Diceros bicornis minor: one gene and its partners. The protein of the gene in region 1 purifies or fractionates together with the protein of each later gene. This does not show direct contact. Links are inferred from orthologs where the notes say so. Each region holds a gene or a part of one and is shown on either strand. Other genes may lie near its edges.

Region 1 (7,417 bases):
CTATATACGCCATCACATAAAAGAAAAAAATTTCCCATTACCTTCCTAAGACTCCACAGCACTACTATACTATATTGCAAAGACCTGTCGAGATGGTTCCCTCTTCCCCTCAACCCAAACACCCTCCTCCCTAAGTACTGAGCCCTTAATAAGGGTGCTAAATGATTTACATAATTACCTCAATTCTCAAAACAATAGTAGGTACCATCATTATTCCCAGAAGAGAAAACTGAGGCTTAGAGATGTTTAAAAAAAAACTTGCGTGAAGTAATGCTTATAGAAGGAGGGGATTCTTGTGTTGTATAAAGGAATTTGCTGGGAATATATATTAGGCCTGGGGACTTTTGTTATGAGACAATTATAGCAGAAATTCTCAAACTGAAAATTTCACACAGAGAAAACAATTAAAGATATTTGGTCAAACTGTGGGTTTTCTTTGGAACTGCATACCTCACGATATCTGACACACAATAAATGCTCAATAAAAATCTACTGTCTGTTCAAACCTAAATTTTAAATAGTTAATTCCTAAGACAATTTGATCACATGGCACAATCTGATAGGGTATTTGTTTTAACTAGATTAAGTGGTACAATAATCAATAATTATAGCTACGCCTAAAGTAATGGCCTCATATTCTGAATGTGGTTTAGCTAATAAAGCAGGGGAAAAAAGTGAAAATGGTAGAAATAAGCTGTGTATCCTTTAAAGATAAGTTTTTCTAATAACAAATTCCATTCAAAATTTTAACACGTCATCTCAATTTCTACAATAAACACTCATTATTGACCTATTCTCTCATCTCAAAATAACCTATTGTGGGGGTTTTAGAATAGCCATGAAAAGCACTGTTCATGTAATCATTATTTTTCAAATAAGTAAAAGAAAAAATCTGAGTCTCCTTTGAGTACTGAATCAAAGCAAAGAATGTGCATTTGCAGAGTATGTACTTTAAGCAAACCTGTTTTCTGATTAAGTTGGACCAGGCACATAAAGAGACAAATATGTAAAAGCTGGTTGAGTTAACGCACTAGCAGTTAACTGATGTTTGAATTTCATTTCTGGAAAGATGAGTTCTATGAATATTCACTTTAAATGATTATGGGTAATCTATGAAGTCTTTCAGGTACCCAAACTTTAGTTTCCAGGGGGAAAAAAAGGGTGTGTTCCCAGGTAAATGATCATCTGGTGTTACACCGAAAAAATAACATACTTTTCTGTTCTCATCCCACACACGGAGTAGGGTTTGGTATTATGCAAGCACACAGCACTTGGGCAATCTTTTCGTCCTTTCTTCGAAAAATAATTTATATAATAATTCCTTAATTCAGTAGCAAAAGAAGTATTGCTTTCTCTCTTCCTTTTGAGGCTCAGGTTTCTTTCATTTCAAAGCACTACTCTTGACTTAAATTCTCTTTTTAAAAAAGATTTAATCATTTAACTCAGAAAGAGGGAGCAAAAAGTCAGGAGGTGAAACCAGAGATATTTTTATTAGTCTTATATAACTTACTCTAAGTTAGAACTGATTCAGTAGCTCAACTAAAACCTGAGGTTTAAGCACAAAAATAAGCTCTTTAGTATATTCTCCAAACACATAAAGAGTTTTAAAAATTGAAAGGATCTGTCTGTATTTTTTTTCTTGTATTCATAAAATATAAGCACTCACATGTATAGCAAAATAGGGTGCCAACATAAAAATGCTAAAATGGAAGAGCACTAAATTCATCCTATCACATCTAGGTACTGTAATAATTGATAGAATTGGATATAATTTCAGAAAATAAATTGATTTCCTAAATATCACCTCTGTAAGTATGCATTAAGTGTTTTTAGTAAATGCTGCGGGGAACATCAAAAACTGATTTTCAAAAGCAATAGGTATACGTTAACCCAATATGCAAACAGAACTCTGAAAATGTCAAGTTAACAGTTGTTCATGCTTAATTAAATTGGCTTTGATAACTGCAAATTACTCCCACACAATTTACACAAAGGACTGTCCTTACTAGAAAGGCCCTGATCTGAACTCAACTAAAAGCTATGTGTTAACTACCTCTCACCACTGAGACACTTGAGCCCCAGTGTAATACTGGCCACGGATTCCCTGCATTGCTTTGGGAATTGCTCCTTGCTTAATCAAGCACTGAACTGCAAATTCACCTTTCTAAAAAGACTGAAAGCAAGAAGCCAAGTTTCACTATCTAGTTTTCCGAAACGAATTAGGGTTTGGGATTTCACTGGGAATGACCACATTATCAAGATGCCATCACCCTAGGGTTTGGGATTTCACTGGGAATGACCACGTTATCAAGATGCCATCACCCTCCTGAGGCGTTTAATTACAATACCTCTCTGTTTTCCATTCAACCACCTCAATTAAATTTCCACTAGAACCAGACACAAAAACTTGATTCCGTGGCCTTGCTGAAAGTCTCCTGCGCGTGCAAACCCTGGGATCCCGAATACATTATGCAAAAACGGCAAAGGCATAGGAAAAATAAAGACTGTTAGACAATGTGGTGACATTACCTTGCCCGTCTTGTGATCAAACCAGACGAGAGCATGGTTCCTTGACAGCACTTTGCAATCAAAGGTAGCATTATTCTGCGCTGGTCGACAGCGGGCCACGGAGCGGCCGATTTTAATGGGCTCGTCCAGGTAGACATGACGCTCCTGAAACGGGTGCGAGTTCGGGCGGCAAGTGAAGATGGCCAAGGCTGACGGCATCGAGGACAGACTGGGGGTGTCTCTCCTATCAAGGGACAAAGAGGAGTTCCACCGGATCCGGACTGCCCTTCACAAGCCTATACCCCTATCCCCCCCAAAATTTTAAATTAAAACAAACTGTGCATTGTCTAAGCATAACCAGCGAACATCAACAACTCTTCTTCACTTGAGTGGGAAGACAAGCCAGCGAAAGCCCCATTACCTCCTTTAAAACCCAGCAGCGCCCTGATCACAAAAAGTCCCCAACTGGCAGCTTTCAGTCCATCTTCTTCCCTGGGATGAAAAGACTCAAACATCGGACAGCTTCGGCCAAGAAAACTCCTGGAAGACAGTTTGGAGATTGGAGGTATCCAAGCAGATGAGTCACACACCAATTCTTGTGTTTTGTTTGGGATCGCGGCCGCCTTTCCCCCTCGGTGGCGGAAATGTTGCAGCACTGCAGCATGAAGGAAGGGTCGGTTCGGTGCGGCCAGCAAGGTCCTTTCGCGCTGAAAGAAGGTGTAGCCGAGCACCTCTGGGCAGCCACTGCCCGTCCTCGAGGGCCTCGAGAGGGGAGAGACAGACGCGAGGGGGTCTAGACGGCCAGCGGGACAGTCTGCATGGCCCCTGCTGCGCGGAGGCCGCCCGGGAGGTGGCACGGGTCCCTGGCCCCGCACGAGCCGAGGCGGCGGTGGCTGGGTCCTTGGCGCGAGGAGCGGGGACTGGCGGGAGCGCGGGCAGAGGCCGAGTCGGGACTCCCCGACACCTGGCGGGCGTCCCCGCGACCAGGGCGGGGATCCGGCTCCGCAGGCCGGTGCGGACCGAGCGAGGCGCGACCCCGGGGAGGCTCGGTGGTCTCCGCCCGCAAGAAGTTGGTCCCTGGACGCCTGGGCTCCTGGCTGCTGCTCAGCACACCGGCCGCCTCCCCTCAGGGTCGCCCCCGCGAGGGTCGCATCTCAGGGACGGCAGCCGCAGCTCCCGGCGGACGAGGAGGTGGGGGAGGGAGGCCGGCCCGGAGGTTGGGGGAGAGGCCTGGAGGCCCCGGGCTGGGTCCGCCGCAGCCTCCACCACTCGCGGCCGCTGGGACACGCTCAGGCTGTGCCCGACGAAGCAAGAAACTTTCCGACCTGGTGGGGGAAACATCAAAACAAACGGCCGTCAGGCGCCGGTGCCCGCCCGCCTCAGCCCTCATCCCCCTCAACCGCCCCCCGCCAGCCCCCGCCACGGGCCACGACCTCGGCCGACCTCTCCGCAGAGAGGCTGCGGGAATTTGGAGCCCGGACACCACGACGGGTCCAGCCTCCCTTGCCGCCGCCGCCGCCTCAGCTTACCTTGCCAGCGCCGGCCGCCATAGTGACTCTGACTGAAACCTACCGGGTGCACCGCCACGGGAACGCGCACCCTTCAAGGGCCCTCCTACCCCCTCTCCCGCGCCGTAGTCCGGGGAAGTCACGTGATCGACGCCGCGGAAGCCATGACGGTCGAGGGCAGAAAAGAGGGCAAGATAATTTTCAACGATTCTCCGGGCGCCATCTTAGTTAAGGGCTGAAAGCTTCAAACCATGGGACAACCTTTTCGGCCCTTTTGGTTAAGGGCAAGAAAAAATTTGACCTGTTGAAGGTTTTCTAAACAAAACGTGCCAACTTCCTACTTTACCATCTTGGTAAGAAGGCACCAACTTTTACTAAATTTTATTCACTATCGTTCTTGTTGAAAATGGCAGCGAGCAAAGAGAACAGATCCATCCAAAGCAAATGTTCATTAGCAGCCATCTTAGCTGTGGGCAACACAGTCCCCCACAGCCGCCTTAGGTGTGAACAACCAAATTCCCACAAGTCTCAGGATTTGTGCATCTAAGATGACAAAGTCCGTCCTCTTCCTGCTAAAGTCTTCCCTGTGTATCCTACCCGGAGAAAAACTCTTTCTTAGTCCCCGCATTCTATTTCGAATGACCGCTTTTCTCACTGGAACTGTCATGTCCCTCAGGGCTCCAAACACAGATTCTACCCCAGAAAGAGTATGACTTAAAAGTTTAAAGTCACGTTGCTTCTAGAGAGATGTCATCAATTTACAATATGAAAAAAAGGGGGTGTGGCCCCCCACTCATGATATTAAGGTAGATGAGGAGTCATTGGTCTAAAGAAGGGAAGACTGCAAAATCTGAAAGAAAATTTCAAGAAAAGATGGTGGGAAGGAGTCATTCATTTAGAGTCAATGGTGGCTTCATTCTTCAGATTCCTTTGACAACAGGCTCCACCACTGTGTGACCTTGGGCAAGTTTCTAAACCTTTTCAAGCCTCGTTTTCTCATCTATAGCATGCAGATAATACATAACTCACCTGTTCTTGTGAGAATTCAAGACGATAATCCATGTTGCTCAATGAAGAGTAACTATTGTTCATTTCAATGCTTATTCATAGGCTTTTGGCCCTGTCCTAAAATCTGTGCTGAGTCCTAGGGGTGAACAAAACCTCAGTCCCTGCCCTCTAAGGGCTCATTGAGGTATTATTGGATAGGAATTTGGGGAGAGAGGTGACAAACATGGATACAAATAACTTCACTTTGATGTAATCAGGGCTAAGATGGAGGCAAGCACTGGATCCTAAAGGGGTCAGGGACAGCCTTCTAGGGGAAGTAACTGAACTGAATGAATGAAGGTAGGAAAACCACAATAAATATGGTATTTACTGAGTGCCTTCATAAATTTCCAGAAAGAGGGACTAGGAAGCAAAGGAACAAGGCTATTGAAACAGTGGACCAATGTGCCTGGCATATAATAGTGACTCAATAAATATTTGATACCTCAATAAAAATTACATATTGTTATTCATTATTACAGGATAAAGCAGGAGTGGCACAAAGTGAATCTGGAGACAAGAATATGCATTCGATTATAAAGCCTTCATATACTTTTCTAAGACTCTTCACTAATTCAGCAAATATGTATTGAACGACTACTGTGTCCAGTTACTTTATTCTGGAGAAAAATAAGGATATGTTCAAAAGTTTTCATATAAAGATGAAGAGTTTTCATTTTTGGTAACTTTTAGGCTTATGTGGAATAAAGTAATATAGGTCCCTCCACAAATCCCTGATGAGTTCTGTGCATGAATTTATAAGTGACTTATGCATTCCTTCATTCATTCATTCTATAAATATTTAATTGAATATCTACTGGGAAACAGATACTTTGAAAGGCCCTGGAAATACAACAATGAAAAAAAAAGATTCCTTTGAATTGCTCATAGTTTAGGTGATGACACAATAAGATCCCTGCCATAATGAGTATATCAAGAGTAATGGGGCCCAGCCCCAATGGTTAAGTTCGGTGCACTCCGCTTCAGCAGCCTCAGTTCTTGGGCACGGACCTACACCCCTTGTCTGTCAGTGGCCATGCTGTGGCACGGCTCACGTACAAAAAGAGGAAAATTGGCAGTGGATGTTAGCTCAGGGCGAACTTTCCTCAGGAAAAACAAAGAGTAATGGGAGCATGGTAGAGTAGTTTAAACTGAGACTTGAAAAATGAGTAGGAGTAGGCAAGCTAGTCTGGTAGTAGTTGGATAACAAAATTTTAGGCCAAGAAAATATTATAAACAAAGACCCAGAAACTTGAGAGAACAGGACCTTAAGGGAATTACAAGCAGGTCTGTATTATTGCAGTATAAGTGGAAGTGGGGGTGTTCAAGGAGAGGGGCACAGAAGTATGATTTCAATTGCTGGAGGATTCATAGGCAATGCAATAAACTTCAGAACATTTCCATCTTTCTCCTACAAGGTTAAAGTAGAGTAATGAAAATCAAGGTTTCAGAATCAGACGTTGCATCACCATTTACCAGCACTGTGAATGGTAAATTATTTAGCTTCTCTAAGTCTCAGTTTCTTCATTTGAAAAAAGTAGACAATACTTCACAGAGTCTTGTTAGGGTTAAATAAGATAACGCAAGACAAAGTGCCTACCATGATGTCTAGAAAATAGTAGATATTCAGAGAATGTTAGTTTTTATTATTATTACTAATAGTAAGAATTCCCCCAGCCTTCCACATACAGTAAGGAGCAAGTTGTATTATCCCTAATTTGTATATGGACAAACTTGTTCACAAATATGGAAACAAGAAGTGTCTCTTTACGTTCAGTTCTACTACAATCTCTCTTAAAACTAATGTTAAACAGAATAGGCTTTTTTTCTCCAAGAAAAGCTGGGATTGCTATAACCTGGAAGAGTAAACAATCCTACCAAGCTACACAGGGTGTGGAAATGCCAAAATGGCATTGAAGGCGTTCTTCACCCACTGGTATTCGGCAGGCATAGAAAAGGCTTAAATTAAGAAATCTCATACATGAGATATTTTGAATTCTAAGCCATGTGGGTGTTCCTCTCGATGATTCTGTATCCATACAGTATTTTAATTAAACAAAAAACATGTCATGTTTTGAGAAATTTGGAATGGTAGTGTTTTCCAATGTTGCAGCTTTCTCTCCTTTTTTTTATTTTTACATTTTTAATAGACTGATAACTATCACCACTGCTATGATCCATGCTACTTTTCAATCTTAGAAAAGCAAAGAGAGAATTGTGAAATTATTACCCTGGTACCATGAAAGACAGGCAATTATTAGCATTTCAGATGTGTAGGAGATGACTCTGTAAACTCACTTAATATGCAACCTTCCCTAAATGATAATGATCTAACTGGACTTTAACCAACAACA
Region 2 (7,511 bases), on another chromosome or scaffold:
TAGTTCGTTTCACTGCTTGCTCATAAACACACAGGCCTGGCCAACACAGCCTGCATGGACCAAATACCGGTGGATGCTCCTCTTCTAAGTCAGATGGCCACGTGGATGGCCAGCATCCCAGAAATGTACTCTACACCTTCCACTACACTATTATTATCTAATGGCAACTCATTTTTTAAAATCATAAACTCCTACATAAGCCATACGTAGGAGTCACACACAAATGTTAAACTCATGAACACAAAGAGCATTTCCTGCATTGGGATTGCTATTCCTTGTTGGAAACACAGGCCATCTGAATCTCTGAAAAGACATTTGTATCTTTCCAAACACAAACAAGACTTTTTATGAAGTAGTTACTCATAGGTTTGGCTAATTATCAAATCTCTTTCTCCCATTTTAGAACTCATGTCAGGCTCATTTTATTTATGTATACCTATCCCTCCCTCCAAATAGAATTTGATTCTATTTACAACAAATACGTAAGACAAACTGATGAAGTTTTTGTAATGATGATAAAATCAATGTGCCCCTCCCAATTCATATGCTGAAGTCCTAGCCCCCAGTACCTCAGAATGTGATTATATTTGGAGATAGGGGCTTTAAAGAAGTAATTAAGGTAAAATGAGGTCATATGGGTGAGGCCTAATCCAAAACGACTGGTGTCCTTATAAGAGGAGATGAGGACACAGACCGGTACAGGGGGAAGACCATGTGAAGACACAGGAAGGAGACAGCCACCTACAAGCCAAGGAGAGAGGCCTCAAAAGAAACAACCATGCCGACATCTTGATCTCGGACTTGTAGCCTCCAGAACGGTGAGAAAATAAATTTCTGTTGTTTAAGTCACCCAGTCTGTGACACTGACATGGCAGTCCTAACAAACTAATACAAATGATAATAAAGTTAATCTGCTGCAAATTAGGCAAATGAGTTATGATGCAAATTAGTTATGATGAACAGGAAAGCACCAGTCATTCAAGAACTGTCTTGCAATGCTCTTCTCTTGCACATTTAATAAATTTTTTTAAAACCCAAAAGGTACAGGAATGAATGTGTCAAAAAGCAAAAAGGTTTACTCTTTTGCCCAAGATTATACAACACGAGGCAAAGACAGCAACAAAACTCAGATCCCTAATGCTCTTTCCAATTAAACCAAGCCCGAGGAGAAAGAACAAACATATTTCAGAAAGAAATATAATCAGTGTACATTTATAAGTGGATCGCCACGGTGTGATAGCAAATATCTGCTAATGCACGCAAGGCCCTGTGAAACACGGGTACTTCCAGAGAGGCATCAGAGTGAGACAGTTAAGAGCGTGGCTTCGGACTAGACTGCTTGGATTAAAATCCCAGCTCCACCACTTACTAACTGTGGGACCTCCGGCAAATCACTAACCTCTTTGTGCCTCAGTTTTATCACCTGTAGAATAGAGATATAGGGGTAACCACTTCACAGGATTGTTGTGAGGATCAAATGAGTCAATAGTAAGTTGAACCACACAAAATTACCATTTTTACAGATCAAAAATGGTCAAATATCGGCATTTTCACATGGTTCAACAGAAAGCACTGAGAACAGTGTCCGGCACCCAGTAAGTGCTAGATGAGGGTAATAATCATTATTACTATTTCAGTCTCAGCACACTACACTAGCGTGAATTATGAGTTCATACCAACCAGCTATCTGCCTTCTGCAGTGCTTGTGCGCTTCAAACAAACCCCAAGTGTGCAGCCCAGGCTGCCAGTCTCTTCCCTTCACCTCTCCATTGCCCCGCACTCCCACCCACTGAACACTTCCTACTTTAGCGCTCCTTCTGCTGCAGGAAGTCAGAGGCCTCTGTGAAATAGAAGCTAACTACACTGCACCTCAGAGAAGCATGACTGCCTCCATCTCTACTCTCTTTTTCTCCAGATGTGGCAGAGTGACATAAGACCCTGGGGGTCCGTAGAGCAAATCAATGATGCAACTGCGACCAAATCAGGAGTACAGACCTTCTAGGATCAGCCACCTCCCTGATCTGGACTTAAAACAATTCCAGGTATCAGTAGGATCTGGAGCTGATACTCACAAAACAATAGAGGCCTGAAAAGGGCACAGTCTGGCCTGGTCCAGTGACCCAGTCTAGAGCAAAGAAGGAAACACAGGGGTCTGTGTCTCAACTCTTCGGGGCCTCAATTTCCCCAACTTGAAAAAAATCCTTATTTCCTCATCTACCCCGCAATGGTGGGTTTAAAGGGCTGAGGAGGATGTGAGGAAAATTAAGAAGGCACTGGACTTAAGGAATGACAGATGCCATCATCATCCTAGAGTGGGGACACTACCAAGGACATCTTCCTAAATGCTGTCCTCCAGGAAGCCCTCCCTCCCTTGCTAGACCGGCAACCTTTCTTGGCACACCTTCAGCTTTTGGAGCAAAGCTTTTCCCCCAGCAGATCCTCCCCAACAGCACCCCTCAGGTGGGACCCCGTCCTTACGAAGTCCACCCAGCCTTCCTCTCAGCTTGTCCCCGACCCATCCCTTAGACAGACCCCTCATAGGTTCCCATCCTGCTTCAGCATTCCCCCCGCCTCAGTGAGTCCCTTCTAGGACAGCCTTCCCCCAGCGGCCCCAGCCCTCAGCAGGTGCTCTCCCTAACTTGTCGCCACGTTCCTCAGCAGCTGCTCCCTTCAGCAGTCCCCCAGGACGTCCCCCTACAGCAAGTGCTCTCCCTAACCAGCCCCACGTTTATCCCCCTCGGCGCGTGCCTCTCTCTCCCGGACCCCCAGCCGCCAGATGTCCCCCACTCAGCAGGTGCCCCATCACCGGGTCGCCTCGCCCCGCAGGTCCCTCCCCTCGGGGGCTCGACAACGGGTGTCCCCCCTCCGTCAGTTCCCGCCTTTCCTTCCCCCCGACCCCCCTCCCGTTAGCCAGTGGCCCCTCACCGGCGCGGCGGGTTCCTCAGCTGCACCGTCTCCATGGCGCTGCCAGCAGCCGCCCAAGCCCGCTCACTGCCCCATCCTCCCCGGGGACCTACCCGAGCACGCCCCGCAGACCCTCCCACACTTCCGCTTTCCGCCCCTACCGGAAGCCGCGCGGCGCGGGGCGGGGCCACAAGGACCGGGCCTGGGTCACGTGGTGCAGCGGGGCGCGGACCGGAAGCCCGGAGCGGAGGAGACTGTTGCCTGGAGTCCTCAGCCAGGCTTGACGCTCTGCTTGACATGCTGTTCGCCCAAGCCGCTCGGTCCCCACACCGGGAACGCATGTCTGCCTCAGTCCGGCCCCTTATTTCTTAGACTGAGATACTGAGGCTTCTTGCGAAGCGCCAGCTTGATAAAAACTATTGATTCTTAACAAGCCAAGTTCTACGCGATTCCTGGGAATCGCTGTCACCCCCAGGGCCTCCTGGAAGTATTTGTGGTTTTCTACCATTCTTACCTGGTAGAATTCTTGTTCCAGATGGAGACTGGACCGCGCATACCTTCTTGGCTGTCACAGGGCATCAGCCTGCAAATTGCCCCACCCTCTTCCTTAACAGCCTCTCCTTTGAGTCAGTTTGGAGACGTGTATACCTGGGAGAAACCAGGTGTACATGTTATTTATTAAGCTCTTGCCATGTATTTGCTTTCATATATTGTTTCATTTAATCCTCACATCAAGCAGGTATGGTTATCCCCAATTTTATGTGTTGATTATCTGACAAACTGTGCTTACCACTGTGGGGGATCAGAATTTGCCACCCCAAAAATGTGTCTCTTTGGCTTGATTATTTTTAAGAACAAAAGACTTGGAAGGAAACTTCACCTTCCTTCTAACTGCCTAAAAGAATTTAAGATAGAAAGCCTGTTCCAGGAAGGAGCTAATACCATAAGATAACCATAGAATAATATAAACTAGGTTTGATAAACAGGGAGGAACCTAACAAGGGCCTTTTAATCAAAGTCCTCATCTCTCATTGTCTTTGCAAGGCATGGTCAACATTTGTTAACCAAACATTTGGTTTTCCATCTCCATGTAAATTGCCTTCCTCCCCTTTGAAGTCCAAAACCAATAACCCCAACGTCCTCCTTTGTTCTTAGCTGAAGATGGTATTTAAGGTAGCAGCTTCTGCCATTTTGGAGAGTTACTCAGTTTTCCTGGGTTTCTCCCAGGTATACATGTTATTAAATTTGTTTCATTTTCTCCTGTTATTCTGTCTCATGTCAATTTAATTCTTAGATCAGCCAGAAGAACCTAGAGAGTACAGGAATAGTTCTTCCTCTGCTATACCACATTCTCAGTGCTTTACTACTATTAACTCATTTAATACTCCTAACAACCTTATAAGATAAGTACTATCAATACTCTCATTTTATAAGGCCAGGGAAGTGAAGATCACAGAGCTAAAAGAATAGGTTTAGGGATTTAAATCCAGGTCCGTCTGATTCTAGAGCCTGCACCTTAAACTGGACAGCCACTGATGTATACTCTCTCTCTGGGCGTCAGAGTCAGAGCTCCCTCTCCACTCAGAGCTCCAGTTCCAGCTATGGCTATGGTTAAATCCCCACTTGCCACCACCATCAATGAGTGCTAGGAAAATGGCAGATTCCACCCAACTTACCCACGGGGAAAGTTACAGGAGCAAATGTACCCAGAGCAACCACTCACTGTTTTTAATTGTCCTGCTTTTCCCAAAGGTATGCCATCTATGAAACTTAACACCTGAGCAGCCACCTTTCAGGGCCACCCAGGTATGGCACCCCGTGTGCTAAAAATGGGATAATAGAGCCATTCCCCAGACACGGAAGGAAAACATTTACTGAGAATCTACTGTGTGCCAGGCACAATCCTAGACTATCACTTAATTTTCAAAACAACTCTATGAAGTAAGAATTATTAGTCCCAGTTCCTCAGGTGAGGAAGCAGAGACTCACGTATACACGGCTAGTGAGAGCGAAGGTTTTAACCCAAGACTGTCCTGACTCCACAAAATCCATATTTTATTTGCCATTTTGCTCTATCAGCAATCTGTACAAGTGGCAGTGGGAGCCCTGAGGAAGTAAAGATCAAGAAGAATTTCTACAAAGTTCAGGAAGCCATATGGGTCCCTCCTGCAAGAAGTCAACCTCTGTCCTCTGAAATCCCCTCGCACTTTTCCTGTTCTTCTCCCAAAGCACACTCAACGTTTTACCTTATGTTCGGGCCCTGCTGCCCACTGGATTTCTTCCTCCTTGAGGGGCAGTTCTGTGTGGAAGCTTCCATTATGCCCACACACTCATCCCCATAGATGAGTAAGTACTCAATAAACATTTTTAAAAATAAATGTCAATTTGCCAATACACATTGTCAAACATCCCTCCTTTGTCCCTTCCCAGGATTTTTCCAGAAGATAGACTGACATTAGGATTGCCCTCTTTTTCCACAGAACGTCCGGTGCAGCACTGGCCCATAGAAATTCCTGCAATGGTGGAAATGTTCTACATATGTGCTGTCGAAACAGTAGCCACTAGCCACATGTGGCTGTTGAGCACTTTAAATGGGGCTAGTGTGACTGAAAAATTGAATTTTAAAATTTTATTTAATTAATTTAAATTTAAATAGCAAGCCTCAGCCAACCATAATATGCTAATAGCTTAAGAGAGAGAACCAATGAGCAGGGTTACTCGTGCTCCATTCATTCAACACTCTGTGAGCTCCATGGGCTGGCACCGTGTGATTCTCTGCGTATACAAGAATATTTGAGACATATATGAGTCCTACCTTTTTTGCAACTTATAGTGTAGTAGAAAAGATAGTTATTAGGCAGATAATTGATTAATGTAGTGATAAATCATGATAGAAAACTATAATGTGAGAACCTAACGAAGTCTAGTAAGATCGAGACAGCTCTGAGACAGCTGGGACAATCATTCATTCATTCAACACGTATATATTGTGTATCTGCTGTGGCCCAAGCACTGTACTAAGTGCCAGGCAATGAGCAAAAGAGATAAGTTTGTGCCCTCATGTGTGTCACATTCAAGTGGGAAAGATAGACAGTAAATAAACAAACTATATAAATATATAAAATGTCTGGTATTAAAAATTATATGAGAAGAAATTAATGTAAGAGTGTGGAAAGTGGGATGGGGAGTAATTTAGATCAGTGATTAGGGAAAGCCTTTCTGAGGAGGTGATATTTGAGCAGAGATGTGACTGAAGTGAAAGAATAAGTCACACTCATATTTATTTATTTATTTTTCTGAGGAAGATCAGCCCTGAGCTAACGTCTGCCAATCCTCCTCTTTTTTTTTTTTTTTTTGCTGAGGAAGACTGGCCCTGGGCTAACATCCATGCCCATCTTCCTCTACTTTATATGGGACGCCACCACAGCGTGACTTGACAAGCGGTGCGTCGATGGGCGCCCGGGATCCGAACCAGCGAACCCTGGGCCACTGCAGCGGAGCGAGCACACTTAACAGCTTGCGCCACCGGGCCGGCCCCCCACACTCATATTTAAAGAGAATGTTTAAGGCAGAAGGAAACAGCAAGGGCAAAGGCTTACATTAGAAGAGCAGCAAGAAGTTGGTGTGCTTGGAGCAGAGTGAATAAGGAAGAGAAAAGTAGGAGGTGAGGTAGGCAAGGTAGCCAGAGTCAGGTTGAATATGGGCCGTGTAAAGATACAAAAAATTACTAGAAATCGGTTAGGTGTATCTGTTAGCTATCACCATGTACCAAACCATCCCAAAGCCCAGTGGTTTATAACAGTAATTATTTTCTAGGTTTTGGTTATTACAAATAAAACAGTTATGATCATTTGTGTACAAGTCTTTGTGTGGATATACATATAGGCATACATACATACAAAAGGACGTTTCATTTCTTTTGGGTAAATACGCAGGCGAGAAATAGCTGGGTCATATGGAAGACATATGTTGATGTATTAAGAGACTGTTTTCCAAGGTGATTGTACCATTTGACATTTCCACCAACGGTGTATGAGAATTCTAGTTGTCCTCCTCACCTATGCTTGATATGATCAGTGTTTGTAATTTTAGCCATTCTGATAGGTGTGTAGTGGTATCTCATTGTGGTTTTAATTTGCATTTCCCTAATGACTAATGATGTTGAGCATCTTTTTAAGTGCTTGTCATCTGTTTATTTTCTTTTTTAAAGTATCTCTTCAAGTCTTTTGCCTTTCTTAAAATTGGGTTATTTTCTTATTATTGAGTTTTTAGAGTTTTTTTTAAATATTCTGGATGCAAGTCCTTTATCAGATACGTGATTTACAAACATTTTCTGGGGCTTGTCTTTTCATTCTTTTAACAGCATCATTCAAAGAGCAGAAGTTCTTAATGTTTGTTAAGTCCAATTGATTCATTTTTTTCCTTTTAAGGATCATACTTTTGATGTCACACCTAAGAAATCTTAGGGAGGATACTGACCCTGCAGGCTCACTTCCCAGGTTCCCATGTCAGCTGACCAGCCAGCAGTAGTGGGAGACACAGGCTGGGAATAAGAGAGAAGCCAGACTCTTTTTCTGCCTTCTTGCCTCTGATGGAGTATCCAGCAG
Region 3 (7,115 bases), on another chromosome or scaffold:
GAACAAATAAAACATCAATCGCATATTTCTAATTTCTTCAGCAAACGCAATTTGGAATGAAATAACCTTTAATTTTTGCAAAAGTAATAATAAAGCAATAATTCAGCATGGCGAGTAGGAGCACAGTCTTGAAGGCAGGAAAGACCTGGTTTCAAACCACAAATTTGCCACATGATACATCGTCTCACCTTGGTCCATTCCATTAGTCTCTGTTGGTTTCTGCATCTACAAAATGGCATAAAGAATACTTATGCCTCAAGTGGTAGCAGTAAGAATCAAGAGGCATAAAAATGATTCGCGAGACAGTGAAAAATCGTGTTTATACTAAAATGTTCTTTCATTCAGGTTTTTTTTTTTTTTTTAAGCATCTTTGCCTCGGCTGCCTGAATTCACTCTGCTGTCTTTCTGAAATTTTTAAGCCAACTCGTTAAAAGCCCTGGTCAGGAGATGAGATGGAAAAAAAGGGAGGGATGAGGTGTCTCAGGACAGGGCACAGAAGGGTTAGTACCTCCCTCCTGTTTTATCCTGAACAGTCAGTCAAAGGCAGGTGCATCTTTAATTTAATCTCAACAACTCTGAGGAATGCCTCCCTGGGCAGCAGCAGCTGCTAATTCCAAGTAGAAAATAAATGTGCTTGTTGTTTTTCTTTTTTAGGGGGAAAGGAGAGGAAAGGAATGTTCTTCCCCAAATGGCACCCAAAAACATTTATCATACAGTTTGAAGATGTGCTTAAAAGCAGGGATGGCTGTCAGAAGCCACCTTCGCACCTCTGAAACTATAACAGCTGAAATGTGGTCCTCTCAACTAAATAAAAATGTACCAGCTTTTACACTGAGAAAGCAAAATAAAAACAGTTCCCTTGTAACACTACCCAGGAAATACACTATATTTGGAAGGCAAAGTTATTAAAGGAATTTTACCTTCTTTTCCCAAGAGTTAAGAATTTTGGCCCACACTCCTGAAGAAAAAAAAAAAGCAAGGACAAAAAAAAATTGTCGAGACCAGATACCACCTGGTGACCATCTGATACTGACTTCAGGGCACAAGCTACCCAGGCTTGAAGTCCCTTTCCAAACTGATTCGCTTTCCACAAAGGCCAACTACCTCCACGGTAAAAACTCTAAGTGAGGCCTTGGTGCTGGATTACAACCTGATTAACACAGCATAGAAGTCAGTCTAAAGGAAATATTAACTAAATGCATTTTTGTTATCATTACAAGAGGCCCCCCTTGCTCTAGTCGTCAAAAATAATTTTTCACGCAGTTCACCTTGCCTTCCTGCCTCTAAATTCAAACCAAACCAAAGCAAGAACTTTAAGAAATACCAAGAAACCACATCTGATTTTTACCTAGCGGTCAGCAAAAGCTTAGGTTTTAAATGCGTGTTCAATTTAAAGGCTCTTTAAATGAGATTCAAGAACAGTTTTCTTCAGGCACACTCAAGATATTAACTTTAACTGCTACTCCTTAAAAAAAAAAAACTCCGGCCAAAATTCTGGTAACTTTATGTTCCTATTTTTCCAGATTTCAAAGCTGAACAGTGAAACCCACTTTTCACGGTTTAAAAAAAAGGAAAAAACATCTGCCTCAGAAGAGGTGGGGCAGATCCCCTGCTCCTAAGAGGCCAGGTAGGTGCCCTGTTCTCAGCCCTCAAGGGCGAGGGAAAAAGAAAAAATGAGCCTGCAGATGTCTGTAAAATAAATAATCCACTTGGAAAACTGTGGTTGTTTTCTTAGGTCCACTCGCTTAGCTAAACTGAGAGAGCAAAACTTGGAAGACATACCGTATCGTGAGATTTGAACCCTAATCATTTTGCCACCATATATGCGCTTACAAACAGTACAAGTTAGTCACGGATGGTGGTTTTCTTTTTCAAAGGGCTAAGAACAGTGCCCAATGGCAAAAGACCTTAATACATTCACGTTAATTTGAAATTCAACTTCTCTCCCCCTCCAAAAAAGTCACTGGTCGGCCAGGATGCCACAAAGTATCAAAGGAGAGGTTGACTGGGAAGGAATTCATCCGGATCCAACCAAGTCTGAAAGTAAAAGCCCAGGGTCCCGGGGTCCGGCACGCGAGTGCACGGTGTCCGACTGATTGCTTCTTCCAGAAGGTTTCCAGGCTCGCACTTTCCCATCTGCACCAGGACAGGCGCGGAACGAACGCGCTGGAAGTGGGGCTGGCACCTACACCTTGCCGCACCCCGCCCTGCCTCCTCCAGCCGGCCGGGCCCGGCCCAGGACGAGTCGGGGCGCGTCCGGGGCTGCCCTCCCGCCGCTCAACTCTCCGGCCGCTCGCCGGGGGGACAGGGGCCTCCGCCGCACGCAGGGCCCCGAGCCGGATCCGGGCCTCCAAGGGCATTTCTGCGCATCCATTCTCCCCGGGGAGGTCGCCGGCGCCGGGCCTGCACTCGGGAGGCGTTGGGAAGAGAGCAAAGCGGGGAGGGCAAGGCGGCTGGCACCCCCGCATCCCTCCCTGACCGCGGCGACGCCGGCCGGCGAGGGCCGCCTCCAGGCCGCGGCGCCCCGATCCCCGCACACCCCCGCCCCCGAGCCTGGGGCCGCGGCGCCGGGCAGTGGCCCCGGGGGCTGGGAGTACCGCGCGGGCGGCCGGCGCGACCCCGGAAGGGCAGCGTGGGGGGGCCGTGTTTACACCGCCAAGTTCCCGCTTCCGCTCCGGCCCGCGCATCCCTCCCTCCCTCGGCGGCCCGGCTGCTGCCTACCTGCATGCCGGGCAGGCCCGACTGCACCGGGGAGTGTGCCATGGCGCTCGGGACGGCCAGTGCCTGGGACGGGACGGTCGGGCCGCGGCGATCCGCGCGGGCGACGAGGCCCGCGGGCCGCGCGCAGCCCTCGGGCGACGGGGGCGGCCGGCCGGAGCCCGAGGCCACCCCAGCCCCGGCGGGTCCCGGGCCGGGCGGCGAGCTCAGCGGCGGGCGGCGGGCCGCGTCTCCATGCGCGGCGCCGGGGAGGGGCTCGAGGGGCGCGGGGCCTCGCCGCCAGCTGCCGCCGCTGCTGCTCCGCTGGAGCCGGGCGGCCTGGGCCCGCGCGCGCCGGTCGCCTGGAGCCGGAGTGGGCGCGCACAGCCGGCCGAGCCCGCGAGTGCCGAGCGCCCCGCGCGCCCCGCCCCGGCCCGGCCCCCGCGCCCGCCCCCGCGGCCCGGCCGGGGACCCCGCCCCGCGCTTCCGGGAGGGGGAGGAGGCTCGCGGCCGCCCGGGGCCCTAGGCCGCAGCCGCCTGCGCCGCCGCCTGCCGGGGCGGCCGGGGGTCGGAGCGTCTCCCGCGGGCTGCCCCTCCCCCCAGCGGCAGGGCAGAGCGGGAGGAGGATGGGCAGCCGGAGGGGAGGTGGGGGCGGGCGGCCGCCCGCCCGGCGGGGAGACGAGGGACGCGGCTTGGAGGCAGGGATGGGCCGCGTGCCCACCACCCCCACCCCACCCGCGGGCCCAGTCGGGCCCTAAGGGGGTCTGGGCAGCGCGGGAGCGGTGCGCACCGACTCTTCCTCTATCCTCCTCCTCCTGCCCTCCCAGCCAGCCCACCGCTCGCCATCTGCCCCCGAACAAACTGGCTCCGGGCGGCCTCCTCGAGGGTAGAGTCTGGGGCTGGGGGACCTGGGGAGGGAGAGTGCCCCGCGGGGCCTCAGCCAGTGGCCAGTTCAAAACTACCAGGGCGGAGCTTCTTCGGCGTCTGGGTAAAGTTTCCTACCAACCCAAGGAGGAAACCGAGAGGGGAGAGGCCGAGAGCTGTTAATCCCCCGTGCTTTTGCTACTTGAAGACAGCCCCGCTTGGACTTCGAGGCGCTGCAAACTTAGCTAAGTGAGGGGGCTCCGCACCAGGGCGGGAGCGGCCACCCACGAGAAGGGAAAGGTGGGGGAGGGGCAGGGAGGAAGGGAAGACAATCGAAGGAAACGTGTCTAGACTTACCCCGGCCCTCTCCCTCTTTCGGCTACCAGCGAAAGGGCCAGCTCCGCCTTCAGCACCAGTTCGACCCCCACCGTTTAGCCACCTCTTCTCCAACTGCAGAGGAAAGACATTAGGAATGAGTCAATACTGCCTCCAGAAAGTATTTTATTTACAATGACAGAGTGGCAGCCACTGAAGTGATCTGCTGCACCTCAGGTTGTGGGGACCCTGGCTCCTCATTCATGCCCGTGAATGCTTTTGTTGCACCATCGCTGTGCTAGGTCGGACGTACAAAAATGAGCCCCCCAGAGTTCACAGACTATTGGAGGAAACTCTAAAAGTCCTCTACTAAGGCAAGGAATGTTTCTTCTCTGAGATGTCACTGTGTTCTTAACAACTTCAGGTCCCTCTGGTGCTCTGGATCAGAGAGTGGGGTGCTTAGACTGAATCCCTCTTTCCCTTTGGAAATATGCATGTTTTTCCTCGAGGTCCTTCAGGATGGTTCACACACCTTCATGGTTGTCACTGGTACACTGTTTTCACTGAAATATGAAGCCCTGCCACCTCCAAGGAATGTGAAGAGCATGTGGCAAATACAAAGTTAAGAAAAGCATGAATCCTGATACCTAGGAGCTTGCCATCTTGTATAAATCTTGTGTACCTAAAAAATGGTTACGTAAAGAGATGAACAGCAAAACAAGCAAAAACGTGAGTCTTAAAAGGGTTAATACTCTTTAACCCTGGAATTCTACTTAAAGTAACAAATGCTGAGGAAACAACCAAGAAGTGCAGAAGAACGTAGATAAAAAGATGCAGTGCAGTGATATTTATAATTGTGGGAAAATTGGAAACATTAAAAGTCCACAGAGATTTTTAAGTAAATGATAGTATATTCATAACGTGAGTTCTAGGTAGTTATTAAAAATTATGTATTTCAATATTTAGTAACATGGAAGAATATTTTCATTATATATTATTAAGAAAGAAAATACAGGGTACAAAATTATGTATAGTCTGATCTCAAGCTACTCCACATATATGAATTTATAAATTTAACATATATATAATTTAAATTTATATAATTTTATGCATATATGCATAAACAGAGAAAAACTTGGAAGTATATTTACCAAGCAGTGGCTATCCCTGGAATTAAAGGTGATTTTTTCAGTAGGTGGTCAACCAGTAGAGACTATCATGCTAAAGAAGTCTCTCCTTAGGGTGAGCCGTCAGGGCAATAACATGGCAGCAAGATAAGGAGGAAGAAACAGGACAAGTGGGCAGAAATGTTTGGGCCCTGATCTGAGGCATTACCATAGGAAACTCTCAAAGAACACTGGGGCCCACTTTACGGTGGGCTAATTTCCAACAAATGTGCCACAGGGGACACTGGACCATAACAACCTGGGTATAAAAAGTAATCAGAATCCCGTTTTCTATCCAGAGGCTAGTGAGGCTAAGAACATGTTGGTTACAATGGGATATAACTTATCTGCACACAGTGACCTGCATTCATTAGCTGGTCTATTTCCTTGTACCCTGTTTATCTCCTCACCACGACTAAACCTCATTTCCTCCTTCAACCATATTTCTACAATTGAGCACCATTCTCCTTGAAAGAGAAGAAAGAAGCAAAATAAGAGTTACTGGTGCAGCTCGGTCATATGCAGACATTACCCGGGATTCCCCATCAGTAGCCCTCTCCCTTTGTTTTAGCAGAGCAGAGATGATTGACAGGGCCCGAGCCCATGATGAGATCCTGCCCAATTGCTCATTGCATTGGTTCATACATTAACACATTGTTCTGAACGCCAACTACATGTCAGACATCTAGGTTAGTGTTGGGCATATAAACGCTGGATCCTCAAGTGCCTCTTATCCCATCCTAGGGACATGGTCTCCCAGAATGCTAACTTCAGAATTTTACAATACCACAACTGATTAAACTTAGAGTCACAACAGCTATAATTTCCACAAGGGAAAGAAGGTTATCCTGTCATCCTCTTCCTCTGGTCACTTTGTCTCCACCCTCAACTTATAATTACAACAGATCATATACTATTGTAATTTCAGAAGGAGAGATTTTGAGGGTCTCCATAGAGATTATGCATTTTCTGGTCTCCATGGAGACACTTGCTAACCCATGGAATTATTTTCATCCCCTGGCTCTCTTTGTCTTTTGTGTTGACTTAAGGACATGAATTGGGCAATGAATTGTGCTCTGACATATATTTGGGACCACAAAGGACATTTCCATACCCTTACAATGAGCCCCTCCAAATATAGAGCCCTTGTGTATTGAAGTTCCCTAAGCCAGCTCTGTAGTCTCAGCAGAGCTCAAAGAGTGCAGCCGAAAACAAGAATTCAACAATCAGTCCCTTCACTTCTCCTTCTGAGTTGAAAAGATAAACACCCCCAAATGCCACTTTATAAAGAACAGCTAGACAAGTAGCACATTAGCAATTTAAATTTGCAGATTAAAGAAAGGGACTTACATGGTGAACTTTAAAGGGAGAAATATGAGTAGCTTGGATAAGTAACTAACAGAAGGCTTGACAAATTTCTACACATGTTCAGCAGGTGAAGACACAAAAGAGGAAGACAGATTATTAAAATCAGTATGAAGAAGCATGCCTCGTCATAGTTAGATGACATGATGGCAAGAAAATATATGCTAAAGCCCTAGGAAAAGATCCAGCTACATTGAGGTATGGTGCAAACGAAGTTTCATTGTGTGGGTGTGAAGCTCAGAGGGCCAGCTCTCAGAGCGACGTGGCTCCACGTCCGTTTTTGGTTGCTAGGGCTGCCATAACAAAGTAGCACAGGCTGGGCGGCTTAAACAACAGAAATTTATGTCCTTACAGTTCTGGAGGCCAGAAGTCCTAGATAAGATGTGGCAGGGTTGATTTCTTCTGAGGCATCTCCTTGGCTTGTAGATGGCCATTTTCTCCCTGTATCCACACATGGTGTTCTCTGTGTGTACGTGTGTGTGTTTCATAACCTCCTCTTCTTATAAGGACACCCGTCATATTTGATTAGGGCCTACCCTAATGACTTTATTTTAACTTAATTACCTCTTTGAAGACCTTATCTCCAAATACAGTCACATTCTGAGGTACTGAGGGTTAAAACTTCAACATATGAATGGGGTGGGGGGACACACATGATTCAGCCCATAACACACCCTTTTCACTGTATGCACGTTTGCGGTCAGCCCC

Evidence for each region.
Region 2: the proteins of SLMAP (region 1) and STK4 purify together in Homo sapiens (co-immunoprecipitation; 3 studies listed by BioGRID and IntAct, with this or other methods). This does not show direct contact. The link is inferred for Diceros bicornis minor from reciprocal best matches to the Homo sapiens genes SLMAP and STK4.
Region 3: the proteins of SLMAP (region 1) and STK24 purify together in Homo sapiens (affinity purification with mass spectrometry; 6 studies listed by BioGRID and IntAct, with this or other methods). This does not show direct contact. The link is inferred for Diceros bicornis minor from reciprocal best matches to the Homo sapiens genes SLMAP and STK24.

The regions. Positions count from the first base shown.
Region 1 is NC_080741.1:57,749,675-57,757,091, reverse strand, and holds the start of SLMAP (sarcolemmal membrane-associated protein), read right to left. Parts: upstream 3,020-7,417; 5' UTR 2,728-3,019; coding exon 2,530-2,727; intron 1-2,529. UniProt on the Homo sapiens protein: Associates with the striatin-interacting phosphatase and kinase (STRIPAK) core complex, forming the extended (SIKE1:SLMAP)STRIPAK complex.
Region 2 is NC_080758.1:16,216,487-16,223,997, forward strand, and holds the start of STK4 (serine/threonine-protein kinase 4), read right to left. Parts: upstream 3,014-7,511; 5' UTR 2,961-3,013; coding exon 2,926-2,960; intron 1-2,925. UniProt on the Homo sapiens protein: Stress-activated, pro-apoptotic kinase which, following caspase-cleavage, enters the nucleus and induces chromatin condensation followed by internucleosomal DNA fragmentation.
Region 3 is NC_080748.1:74,650,951-74,658,065, forward strand, and holds the start of STK24 (serine/threonine-protein kinase 24), read right to left. Parts: upstream 3,086-7,115; 5' UTR 2,764-3,085; coding exon 2,722-2,763; intron 1-2,721. UniProt on the Homo sapiens protein: Serine/threonine-protein kinase that acts on both serine and threonine residues and promotes apoptosis in response to stress stimuli and caspase activation.